Linked DNA regions of Mus musculus. The protein of the gene in region 1 interacts with the protein of each later gene in a pairwise test. Links are inferred from orthologs where the notes say so. Each region holds a gene or a part of one and is shown in the gene's direction. Other genes may lie near its edges. The genes, in order: Mapk8ip3, Klc1 and Ldlrap1.

The links.
Region 2: the proteins of Mapk8ip3 (region 1) and Klc1 interact in binary tests that used the Homo sapiens proteins (3 or more experiments, as listed by UniProt). The link is inferred for Mus musculus from reciprocal best matches to the Homo sapiens genes MAPK8IP3 and KLC1.
Region 3: the proteins of Mapk8ip3 (region 1) and Ldlrap1 interact in binary tests that used the Homo sapiens proteins (3 or more experiments, as listed by UniProt). The two-hybrid records come from large-scale screens. The link is inferred for Mus musculus from reciprocal best matches to the Homo sapiens genes MAPK8IP3 and LDLRAP1.

The regions. Positions count from the first base shown.
Region 1 is NC_000083.6:24,902,336-24,905,979, reverse strand, and holds part of Mapk8ip3 (C-Jun-amino-terminal kinase-interacting protein 3), read left to right. Parts: intron 1-681; coding exon 682-812; intron 813-1,016; coding exon 1,017-1,073; intron 1,074-1,160; coding exon 1,161-1,331; intron 1,332-1,928; coding exon 1,929-2,055; intron 2,056-2,595; coding exon 2,596-2,691; intron 2,692-2,817; coding exon 2,818-2,976; intron 2,977-3,536; coding exon 3,537-3,644.
Region 2 is NC_000078.6:111,775,768-111,779,411, forward strand, and holds part of Klc1 (kinesin light chain 1), read left to right. Parts: intron 1-156; coding exon 157-235; intron 236-1,044; coding exon 1,045-1,270; intron 1,271-2,252; coding exon 2,253-2,340; coding exon of another isoform or gene 2,341-2,481; intron 2,482-2,831; coding exon 2,832-2,933; intron 2,934-3,644. UniProt on the Homo sapiens protein: Kinesin is a microtubule-associated force-producing protein that may play a role in organelle transport. The light chain may function in coupling of cargo to the heavy chain or in the modulation of its ATPase activity.
Region 3 is NC_000070.6:134,765,185-134,769,368, reverse strand, and holds the start of Ldlrap1 (low density lipoprotein receptor adapter protein 1), read left to right. Parts: upstream 1-1,364; 5' UTR 1,365-1,468; coding exon 1,469-1,553; exon of another isoform or gene 1,554-1,559; intron 1,560-4,184. UniProt on the Homo sapiens protein: Adapter protein (clathrin-associated sorting protein (CLASP)) required for efficient endocytosis of the LDL receptor (LDLR) in polarized cells such as hepatocytes and lymphocytes, but not in non-polarized cells (fibroblasts).

The DNA.
Region 1 (3,644 bases):
GATCCTTCCTCCCCCCACCCCTGACCTCCCAAACTGAGGAAGGGTCACATTTGTTCCCCTTCTTACTGATGCCTTCTGCAGTCCCAGCAGGGGTATTTTGTTACCAAAGATGTTACTGGTATGCACCTGCAGCCTGGGCAGTGCAGCCAAACCCTGAGCCTGCACTTCCTCTCACTTCCCAAAATGAGGTCTGGGCAGCACAGTTTGTCCCTCTGTACCAGAATAACTTTAGAACATACTGGGTCCTTTGTGACAGAGCAGCAATCTGTTCAGTCTCTGGGACGTAGTGTAGAGATTCCATAGTGTAGGATAGTCTAGCAGAGGTGGGAATGTGGATTGTGGCTACTTGAGTGTGAAAGAGTGGCTCGTTCAGGCCTCCACCTTCTTTTACTGTACATTGGCAGAAGCAGATTGCAGGTAGGTGAGGCCAGTGAGGCCGTGTGCAGGCAGGACCTGTTCCTGTGCACTTTCTCCCAACTCCCTTAAGCTCGTTCTGTTCAGGCTTTGGAGAGAAGAGTGGCAAACCCCATGTGGGCTCCCCTGGCACTCTAACCTGCCATTCCACCATCACTTGTCCCAACTATATCTCCATCTAGGGGGTAGACACCTCAGAAGGAAGCCACGTATGCTTGACTGTCCTCCTGTTTCTCATTGGAGGAACCACATTTCCCCCCTCTGCAGGACAAAATCCCCATGGCCCAGCGCCGACGCTTCACACGGGTGGAGATGGCCCGAGTGCTCATGGAACGCAACCAGTACAAGGAACGCCTCATGGAGCTGCAGGAGGCTGTGAGGTGGACTGAAATGATCAGGTGTGCCCCTCAGCATTTCCTCTGACAGTTCTGAGCAAGTTCATGGCTCTGATTGGATCTATTTTTCCTGAGCTGGGGTTGTAGAATTTTAGCAGGCCTTGGGATTTGACTGCCCTCCACCACACTTCCTTTCCCCCGAGTGTTGGCATGGTTTGGGGGCTCCAGGGTCACCCGGCACAGCTCCTCCTTTACTCTTCCCTGCAGAGCATCAAGGGAACACCCATCTGTCCAGGAGAAGAAGAAGTCCACCATCTGGCAGTTGTGAGTATGGTGCTCTATGGAAGAAGAGGCTTTCGTCAGCCTGCTACTGTTCCACACTTGGCTCACTTATCTGTGTTTCCATGGCAGCTTTAGTCGCCTCTTCAGCTCCTCATCTAGCCCCCCTCCGGCCAAACGATCCTACCCATCTGTGAACATTCACTACAAGTCACCCACTGCAGCTGGCTTTAGCCAGCGTCGCAGCCATGCTTTGTGCCAGATCTCAGCCGGCAGCAGGCCCCTGGAGTTCTTCCCTGATGAGTAGGTATCCCTAGCCCCCAAGTGTCCTGAGTCTATCCACTCTATGCTTGAAGTTGGAGAGCAGACTTTTAATATTCTGTACTGTGGGACAGAAGTTATCAAGAGCAGGAAAGATGACACCTTCTCTCTATGTCCACTACCCCCAGCAAAAACTAGTCCTCAGGTTCTGTCTGAATGACTTTTAGCAGGGACTGCAGTTCCAAGAAACCATTCTCTTAGACTTTGAAGACTGTGCTGGGTCCCATCATACTCTTCCCTCCTGTGTCTGACCTTAACGTCTGAGCACTGCCCCAAACACTTAGTTAAGCTTCTTGGGGCCACTTTTGTGAGAAACTACTGGTAAACTCACCTAGGTTACACAGTTGCTGACCAGCAACAGAGCAGGCCCCAGAACAGCTGGAAATGACCTCTTAAGCACAGGATCACACCCCAGACATAATTGGGAAAAGCCACCTTCTGTCAAATACTACCCCTGTCCCAGAAAAGGCAAGGGTAGAATCAGGCAGGCTCTGAGGAAGACCAGTGAGAGTCTGGGTGCTCCAGCCTCACCCCGACAGCTCACCTTGAACAGATGTAACCTGTCATTTTTTCACCCAGTGACTGCACCTCTTCTGCCCGGCGGGAGCAGAAGCGGGAGCAGTACCGCCAGGTTCGTGAACACGTGCGCAATGATGACGGGAGGCTGCAGGCCTGTGGGTGGAGCCTGCCTGCCAAGTACAAGCAGGTACTTGAGACAGGGGGTGGTTTCTGGGTATGGAGAGGATGTGAGAAGGACACAGTGGTAGTGCAGAGCCAGGAGGCACCCATTTCCTAGCTGGTGTTGGTGGATCTGTGACTCTGAGGGTTTTCTAGTTTGCTTTCTGTTGCTCTGATAAAACCCTGAGCAGACCAGCCTGGGTGAAGAATGGGATTATTTGACTTAACTTCCACCATCAAGGGAAACTGAAGCAGAAATCACTGAGGAATAGTATTTACTGGCTTGTTTTTCATTGCATATGCAACTTGCTTTCTTACACATCCCAAGATCACCTCCCACACACATGCCTATGGACCAGTCTGATGGAGGCAGTTCCTCAGTTGACATTCCCTCTTCCCAGGGGGTTCTAGCTTATGTCAGGTTGGCAAAAACTAACCAGCACAGAGGGCCAGCAGAGCCAGACCCAGTGCACTGTGTACCAGAAGCCCGCAGGCAACTAATTGAGATTTCTGAAGGCTAAAGTGTCTTCCTTGGCCTCATACCACAGAACTTCCCACTCTGTTGCAGCTGAGCCCCAATGGAGGCCAGGAAGACACCCGGATGAAAAATGTGCCTGTCCCTGTGTACTGCCGCCCTCTGGTGGAGAAGGACCCTTCGACAAAGGTGAGCACCAAGGACCCTGATCAGAGGCCTCCAAGGAAACCCTGGACAAAGGGTAGTCTTTACTGTAGCCCCTGGGAGGCCCCAGAGAAGCTGATGCACTGAGACCTCACAGCCTTGTCCCCGCAGCTGTGGTGTGCTGCTGGTGTCAACCTGAGTGGGTGGAAGCCACATGAAGAGGACTCTAGCAATGGACCCAAGCCTGTACCAGGTCGAGACCCTCTGACCTGTGACCGGGAAGGAGAAGGCGAACCCAAGAGCACACACCCATCACCTGAGAAGAAGAAGGTCAGTATGTTGATCAAGAATGTGGTTTTATCCTACATAAAGTCTCTAGATAGTTTCCTGCAGGTTCTGCAGTTAAGTGACCACACCCTGGTGACAGTGCATCTCTTTTCCCCTATCAGTCTGAGACAGGAGCAGGTGCTGCAGCATCTAAGATACCACTGCTGCCTCTCTATAGTCCAGGTTTCCTCCTGGCCTGTGGAGCGATGGGACTGTCTACTGCCCTTGGTAACAGAGGGCTTGGGAGAACCAGGCATACCTTTTATCATGTAGTAAATTAGGGAGCAGGAGGACTGCTCATAGGAGAGGCCCAGTGATTTGCAATGAATCCCAGAGCACGGTCACAGCTTGATTTACAGGCCATGAGAGTTGCCTCTCCAAGTTTGTGGTTTCCTCTTAGAAATGAACTATCATGATATGGATCTGCGGGCTATAGGGGAGGATAACTATCCATTGATGCCATATTCAAAGCTAGATCTTAGGAAGTTCTGAGACTCCCTGATTCATGTCAATACCAAGTTCAGGCACTGGCTTTGATTTCCCCCTGATATGCTCTGAAACAGGCAAAGGAAACCCCTGAGGCAGATGCTACCTCCAGTCGGGTATGGATCCTCACCAGCACCCTGACAACCAGCAAGGTGGTGATCATTGATGCCAACCAGCCAGGCACA
Region 2 (3,644 bases), on another chromosome or scaffold:
CTGCTGGGTAAGCCACACTCAGATCATCATACTCTTAACTGTAAAAAACTGGCTATCTTGTCTGGTCTGTAGTAAGTAAAAAGGAATTTTATGTTAAGAGGTTTGCAGGCGGCATGGGGGTTCTACAGAGTGAAGGATGCTCTGGGTCTCTTGTAGGAGGACAAAGACTCTGATTCTTCCAAAGAGCCGTTGGATGATCTCTTCCCAAATGACGAGGACGAACCAGGACAAGGAAGTGAGTAGCAAGGATGTGACCGTGCCGTTAAATGTGGAGTAGTGTGGGGCTGCTTCCTCTCTGAGGACAGTCCTGCCCTGGCATACTTAGCTTGTGAGAATTATATATATATAAGGTCTCACATGAGAATTATATATATATATATATATATATATATATATATATATATGAGGTCTCACATGGTAGCCCAGGGTGGCCTTTTTTTTAAAGATCAAAAATTTTTATTTTATGTGTATGAGTGTTTCATTTGCATGTATGTATATGTACTAGGTGGGTGTCTGGTGCCTACAGAGGTCAGAAGAGGGTGGCAGAGCCCCTAGAAATGGAATTACAGCTGGTTGTGAGCTGCCATGTGCGTGCTGGGAACTGAACCCCAGTCCTTTGCAGGAGCAGTAAGTGTGTGCTCTTAACCACTGAACTATCTTTCCAGCCCTAGACCTGAGACTCTCCGTTCTTTTGCCTCATCCTCTCTAATTTTGGGATTATAGGTGTGTGCCACCATAGCTGGGAGATTGCCTCTGTCTTTCCCAAACTTTACAGTAGTTAGTGCGTGGTGTGATGTTAGTTAGTATATAGGCGTGGGTCTTTGCAGGGTTAAAGAAGTCAGAGGACCTACCCTTTCTGCCTTCCCTTGGAGGAATCCTGTGGTGGTGTCAGTCCGCAGCACACTGTTCCCCACGGGCTGTTTCTCTTGGCTTGCTCGTGGGTCCCCAGGAGACTATGGGCTAGCATATGCACTGACTGGAACTAGGGTGCTGTCCATGTGTTAGCCACTCTGTCCTAACCACGGCCATGTACCTTCTCTGCAGTCCAGCAGCAGCACAGTAGTGCTGCGGCCGCCGCCCAGCAGGGCGGCTACGAGATCCCTGCAAGGCTGCGCACGCTCCACAACTTGGTGATCCAGTATGCTTCACAGGGGCGTTACGAGGTGGCGGTGCCACTCTGCAAGCAGGCCCTGGAGGATCTGGAGAAGACTTCCGGCCACGACCACCCCGATGTGGCTACCATGCTCAACATCTTGGCCCTGGTGTACAGGCTAGTCTTTGGGTTACTGCATTGAACTTTCTGAGAGGCAGAGTGTTTCATAAGCCTCTATGAAACAGCTTTCCAGCCTTCCTATCTGCTTCAAACAGCCAGCAGTTGATCTAGAATGTTCAGCCAGCTTGGTGGCAGGGCTCTCGCAGGACCAGCCAGGTGCTTGCTCTCTGTAGCTCCGGGCCAGCTCTGCCTGAGTAGCCATTTTGCCCTCTGCACTGACCAACTCAGTCACTTCGACTTCTTTAAAATCAGTTTTATTTTATGTATGTGAGTGTTTGGCCTGTGTGTTTCTGTGTAATTACAGGAAACACACTCACACACTTAATATAAAAAATTCCCCCCTTAGGATAATCTCCTGAAATGGGTTCTCTTTAAAGCTTTGTTGGTTCTCCCAGCTGCTCTGTAGAGGGGTGGTGCCCTTTGTGCTCCTGCCACGGTGCCCCTGCGTGGGCAGTGCAGGTTCTTTCTTCCTTCCTGTCAGGGAGTGAGTGAGGTGTTGCACTGTGCCTTTCCTTAAGTGGATATTTAAAGTCCTCTGCACTCTCCTTGGAATTTTACTGTAGGGATTTACAGTGCTCTAAAATTTTCACTTTTAATCTAAATTTCCTGGTGGGCTTCAGTCTCACTGTGCTGGGCCTGATCCTTGGTCCCCTGACTAAGCAGGTCTAGGGCAGGTCTGAGTCTCTACAGACTTCTGGCTTCAGCTGACTCCTGCTGGCAGACAATCTCTATGACCTACCCATAGACTCTGTCTGTCCACTTCTCTGGACTGCCTCGAAAGGCCAGCACTGCAGTCAAAATTGCATTTTAAAAAGGTTCAGGCTGACTTTTGTGGTGAAGTAAATTCTTTGTATGCCTGAACCCCAGGCGTTCAGTCCTCAGTATCAGTAATGGCTAACTAACTAACTAACTAACTAACTAGACTGGTGGGGTTCGTGACTGACCTCCAGCTGAACGAGGACTGTGTGTTTCGGTTTAGGGATCAGAACAAGTATAAAGATGCAGCTAACCTCCTGAACGACGCCCTGGCTATCCGCGAGAAAACCCTGGGCAGAGATCACCCCGCGGTGTGTATACATACCCCTCCTTCCAGGCCTTTACAGCTTATTTTCCCAATGCATTTTTGTCCAGCTCATTCCAATGACGAGCTCAACGGGGAGGGTCTGAGAGCCACCTTGTCCCAGATGGTACCGGTAGGGCCTGCTCAGGTAGTGACACTCACACCTTCGGGTCCCCTCTGATTTGTTAAGTCACCTCCTCAGATCACTGGCTCACTTCACTTTGATCCAAAATCAAGGCGCATGGCCTCTAGATTTGTTCTTGAGAATCTGTGCTGTCTTCTTATGTGTCTGCTCAGATGTGTACAGAGATCTGATTTGGTTGCCTTTGTGGCTTTGAGAAATTGAAGAATCAAGATCATGTTGATTGTTTAGTTTCAGTGGTGCATTTTGTAGTGAGTCCCTCTGATCTGCTGAGTGTCACCATGCATGTGGGAGGATCTGGGACTCCCCTCATGGCCACTCTTACACTGGCTCCTTGTGGCCTTCTGTCTTGGCAGGTGGCAGCGACTCTGAACAACCTAGCAGTACTGTACGGTAAGCGAGGGAAGTACAAGGAGGCGGAGCCGCTGTGTAAACGAGCCCTGGAGATCAGGGAGAAGGTGAGAGGCAGCTGCACTTCTTCACTGAATTTAGTTTTTCTCTGTCTCTCTGTCTGTCTGTCTGTCTGTCTGTCTGTCTGTCTCTGTCTCTCCCTCTCTCTCGGGGAATGACATCATTTTAAGGTTTGAGAACCGAGCACAGCGATATGTTATTTACTATCTGCTTACTGAGAGTAACTCCCAGAAAGGCAGGAAGGGGCTTCCTGTGTTCAGCCTTGCCCTTCCTGCTGTTGACCAGGGAAGTCCTGAGTAGCAGGGGAGTGCAGCAGTCTCTGCATTCACTGATGGTGTGCTCTTGTCATTAGAGATGCTTCAGTTTGACATTAAGTTACTCTCAGGTGCACTGGCACACGCCTTTGGTCCCAGCACTTGGGAGGAAAAGGCAGGTGGATCTCTGTGTGTTTCATGCCAGCCTGGTCTACAGAGTGAGTTTCAGGACAATCACGACTTCACATGGGGATCCTATCTCAAAACAAGAATAAGTTTACTGGAGCTAGAAAGATGTCTCAGCAGTTAAGAGCACTGGCTGCTGTTACAGAAGATGTAAGTTCAATTCCCAGCAGCCACATGGGGGCTCACAACTCTAACTCCAGCTCTAGGAGATCCAAAGTTTTCTTCTGGCTTCAGTGAGCGTCAGGTGTGCATGTGATGCACAGAAACACATAAACCTTAAATAACAATCCCAGTTCCACTGCATGTCTTCCGGTGGCA
Region 3 (4,184 bases), on another chromosome or scaffold:
GACCATGCCCCCCACTAGGATTCCCACTGAGGCATCACTCTCTGACTCTTGGGGAACCACAGGTATGTCGTGTCTCCTGCTGTAAAGGAGGCTATGGCTGGCTGTACTGTCCACTCAGGCGGAGCACTTGGAACAGACAGGAGGTTTAGAAAGAGTGGAATGTGAGCCAGGCCTCCTTGGGCAGCTAGAGCACACAGCATGTGTGTCTCCCAGCCAGAAGAGATCTGCTGGCTTCTGAAACTAGCCAGAGGTCACAGCTGCGCTGCTGAAGCCCAGCTTCTGGAAGCCAGGTAGTGAACGCCAGACTCCTTTGGGCACAGTCTGAACCAAGGGTTAGCGGGTTTTTTGGTTTTTTGTTTTGTTTTCTTGGTTTTTTTTTAATAGTTAGAATTCTTTGTTATTTGGGTTTTCTGAGACAAAGTTTCACTCTATACCCCAGGATGCCTTGGAACTTGCAGGAATCCTCCTGCTTCAGCTCCATGAGCGCTATGATTACCGGTCTGAGCCATCGCTCCTGGCTCTAGAGTTAAATTACCAGCTTCCTGGGGCTGGAGCAGGTGCTGCCTTGGAAACAGGCTAGAGCAAGGCTACACACCGAGGGCCTGCCCAGACAGGCCGGTGGGTGCACTACAGATAGGATCACGCTTCATTTGACAGATATCATGACTCAGAGCAGGGAAGGACAGCCTGGGTCACACAGCATGCCTGAGTCTGCGTCTAAGGTTGCAATGTCCCTGAGACTGTGGGGGCAGAGGACAGCTAAGAAAGCTGCTAAGGGCATCTACCAATACACTCCCGATCCTTCCCAGCAAAATTCGCGGCCTTCATTCCCTCGTTCAAAGACTCCCATTGCTTTGGTGCGCCCCTCACTCATATTTATTTAATTATTTACATTTATTTTGTGTATGTAAGCAATGGGGGAGGTGCCACTGTTAGCGCCAGGAGGTCAGAGGACAATTTGCAGGAGTTGATTCTCTTCTTCTACCGTGTTGTCTCCGGGATCATTGTCAAGCTTGGCGGCAAGTGCCTTTATCCACTCGACCCTCTCCTTCCCATCTATCGTTTTTTTCTTTCTCTTATTTTTGAACAAGACCCTTATCGTTCTACCTTTCACTCTTCCCATCGGTGAAACGGTATCCAGGTGCCTTTTAGCTGAGCTATCTAGAAGGCCATGGGATCCCGTAGCTAGAGAACGGGGAAAGGCGCTGGGCTGGGAGCCTTGGTGGGTTCTGAGTTTAGGAACACCGCGCGTGCAGCCTCGGAGCCGGTCCAGGTCCGGGAAGGGCGGGGTTGCGCTCTAGGGGCGTGGCGGTGGGCGTAGCCCCTCCGGCCCCGCCCCTAGACGTCGCGGGGAGGGCGGGGGAGGAGCGCAGCGGGCGCGCGCCGCCTGGCCCGGCGGAAAGTTTTCCTGGAGGAGTTTTGGCGGCGGTAGCGGCGTCAGTGGCGGCGGCGACAACCGGAGCGGGCCATGGACGCGCTCAAGTCGGCGGGGCGCGCGCTAATCCGGAGCCCCAGTCTGGCCAAGCAGAGCTGGGCGGGCGGCCGGCACCGCAGTGAGTGTATGCGCCCCGGGTCGGGCCTCCGCCGAGCTCCGGGCCAAGGTGGACTGGGTGGCTTCGTCCCGCCCCGCGCGGCGGGGCCGGGGGTCATGTCCGGCTGCACGTCTGGGGCAGGTCGACAGGGATCAGGCTTAACTCGGGGTCCCCAGGTGTGGCGCGAAGGGGACGTCTAGAGCCTCTCTACCCACTCCAGCACAACCTACAGGGTCCCCTCTGGACGCTGGAGTTTCGCAGGTCCCTGCCTCGAGGGGCGATCCCAGCCCGGGTGCCATTCAGGGTCCCGCTTCCTCCCCTCTGGACGCGTCCAGGTGGCGAGGCTGGAGCCCAGGCTATTTACAAACCCTGTTTTCCTCCGTACTTTTCCTTGGGGGCTGGTCCGAGTCCCTGGGCACCTAGGCAAAAGGCAGACTCAGACTCGCTGCCATTTCTCCCGGGAGTCTGGAAGGGTGGAGAGGAGCCTCCCCCAGCCACCTCTCGGGTTACTTTCGGAGAGCCGTCACCTGGCACCCTCCCCCGAGGCCTGAGAAACCTAGCTTAGGTCCCTCCTCCCTTTTCATTCGCGTGGGATGATCACCCAGGCCTTCCCTTTCTGATGTGAAGCCAAAGTACCCGGGCTCGCGGCACACCCTCACCTGCCACCTACCTGGGGCCCCCCACCTCTCCCACTAACAGTACCCCCTCCCCGCCCCCAGCTTCTCGTCAGCACCTTCCCTTGCCGGGCTCCACCAGGGGAGCCCGAGTTTCCTAGTCCCTGGAGCGCCAGCGTGTCTGGGCCTCGGGAGCCCGCCCTGCCCCTCCTCATTCCCACTGTGGTGTTCCAGTTGTGGGCTCCTCCTAGCCCTGACTGGCATCGGGAACGCGTGCTGGTGCCTACTGGCGGGGGTGGGGTCAGAGGCCCCTTGGGCAGGGCATGTACTGACTTCCACACTTAACTACCAAAATAGCCCTTCAAAAATTCGTGGGATGTGACCAGGGCTTCTGAGTGTGACCTTCTCTTCCAGTGGACGAACCCTGTGGTTTTTCTACTGGGACAAGAGAGAGAAGGGTGGGTGGGGAAGAGGTCTGAAGGGGAGGGAGCCAGGAAGCAGGGGATGAATCTAGGGCATCAGGGTACATTTTGGATGGTGAGAAGTTTCCCTTCCAGCTCCAGCCTTAAGGCCGATCACTTGTTCTTAGTGATTCTGTTTCCTATCCTGGAAAATAGGGATAAAATTCCTGCGGGGCTGGGGATGTGTGTGTTGTGTTTGGTAGGATGCTTGCCTTAGCTTGCAGGAAGCCCGTGGTACTTTAAGTTCTTGGTTCCAGTATCGGCACTAAACAAATCAGGTGTAGCGGTTCGTGTCTGTACTCCCAGAACTAGGGAGTTGGAAGCCTACAAATCAGAAGTTCACAGTCATGAGGTGTCAGATAGTGAGTTTAAATGAGGCTGGTCAGGGATAGGTGTCAGTTAAGATGTTGCTAGTCTATTTTACAGGTTGGTGATGAGGTCTCTTGTTGTCTAGGCTGGCCTAGGACTTGCTGTGTAGACCAGGTGTGCTTTGAGCCTCTGATCCCCCAGTGCTGGGATTAAAGGTGTGCACCGCCATATAGTTATGTCCATGTCCTCTGGATTCAACCTGATTCTTATCAGGTTGGCCAGTTCTGAGATGGGGGCCTCAGCCTGTCTGTACCCTGGAGGGATGCAGCGCTCTCCTCTCTCCCTGCTCCTCCCAAAGCTCTGTGCTCACAATGAGCTCCTCAGAAACCTGGCCTATCTTTGGTTAAGTGTCAAGTTCGCAATATTCCTTTGCCGGGAAGAGTATTGCTTGGTCTGGAACTTTTGTGGGAGTGTCTGTGCTTGTCTTACTTGCCTAGAGGTGGTCTCAGTGAATGCATGCCCCTGCTTCTGTCTCTGGTATTTGACTTCTGTGAGCTCATTGGCTCCTGGGAGGTGACAAAGCTTGGGATTCTTATCTTCAGACCCATTTTAGAGATAGGACCGGGAAATGAAGTCCTAACTCTAGGCCTAGAGCATGGCCTGAGGCAGAGCTTCCCCAGCCCAGGGATCTTAGCCTTATTCCTTGGGTTTTCTGGCTGTTGGGGGGCAGCTCCACCCCAGGTTTGGCTAGCTGGCCCCCAGGACCAGGTTAGACAGGAAAGCCTTGGGTGTGGCCAGCATGAGAGGTTGGGACCTATCCAGCCCTTGGGTCTAGCGTTTAAGATCAAAGGCCAGAGCCTGTTAGATGGGAAAAGGGACTTGTTCTCAGGCGGGAGGACCTGAGTTCTAGTCCTGGGCTCCATTTGGAGGAAGGAGAAAACCGATTCCCAGGAATTGTGACCTCCACACATGCACGGGGACTCTTCTCCATAGACATAATGAGTATTAAAAACAAAACAAAACAAAACAAAACAAAAGCTCAGAGGACAAAGCAAAGATGAGGGATTCTGGGTAGAATCAGCCCCTGCTGAGAAAGAGAACCCTGGCTGGAGCTGCCAAGCACCGACCTGCTGGCTTCCCACTCACCTAGGAAGAGGACTCTTCTTTCTCATGGCCACTTCCCCTTATGAGACAGGGTTTCCCAATGTAGCCCTGGCTGCCCTGGAACTCACTCTGTAGGCCAGGCTGGCCTCAAACTCTGGGATCTC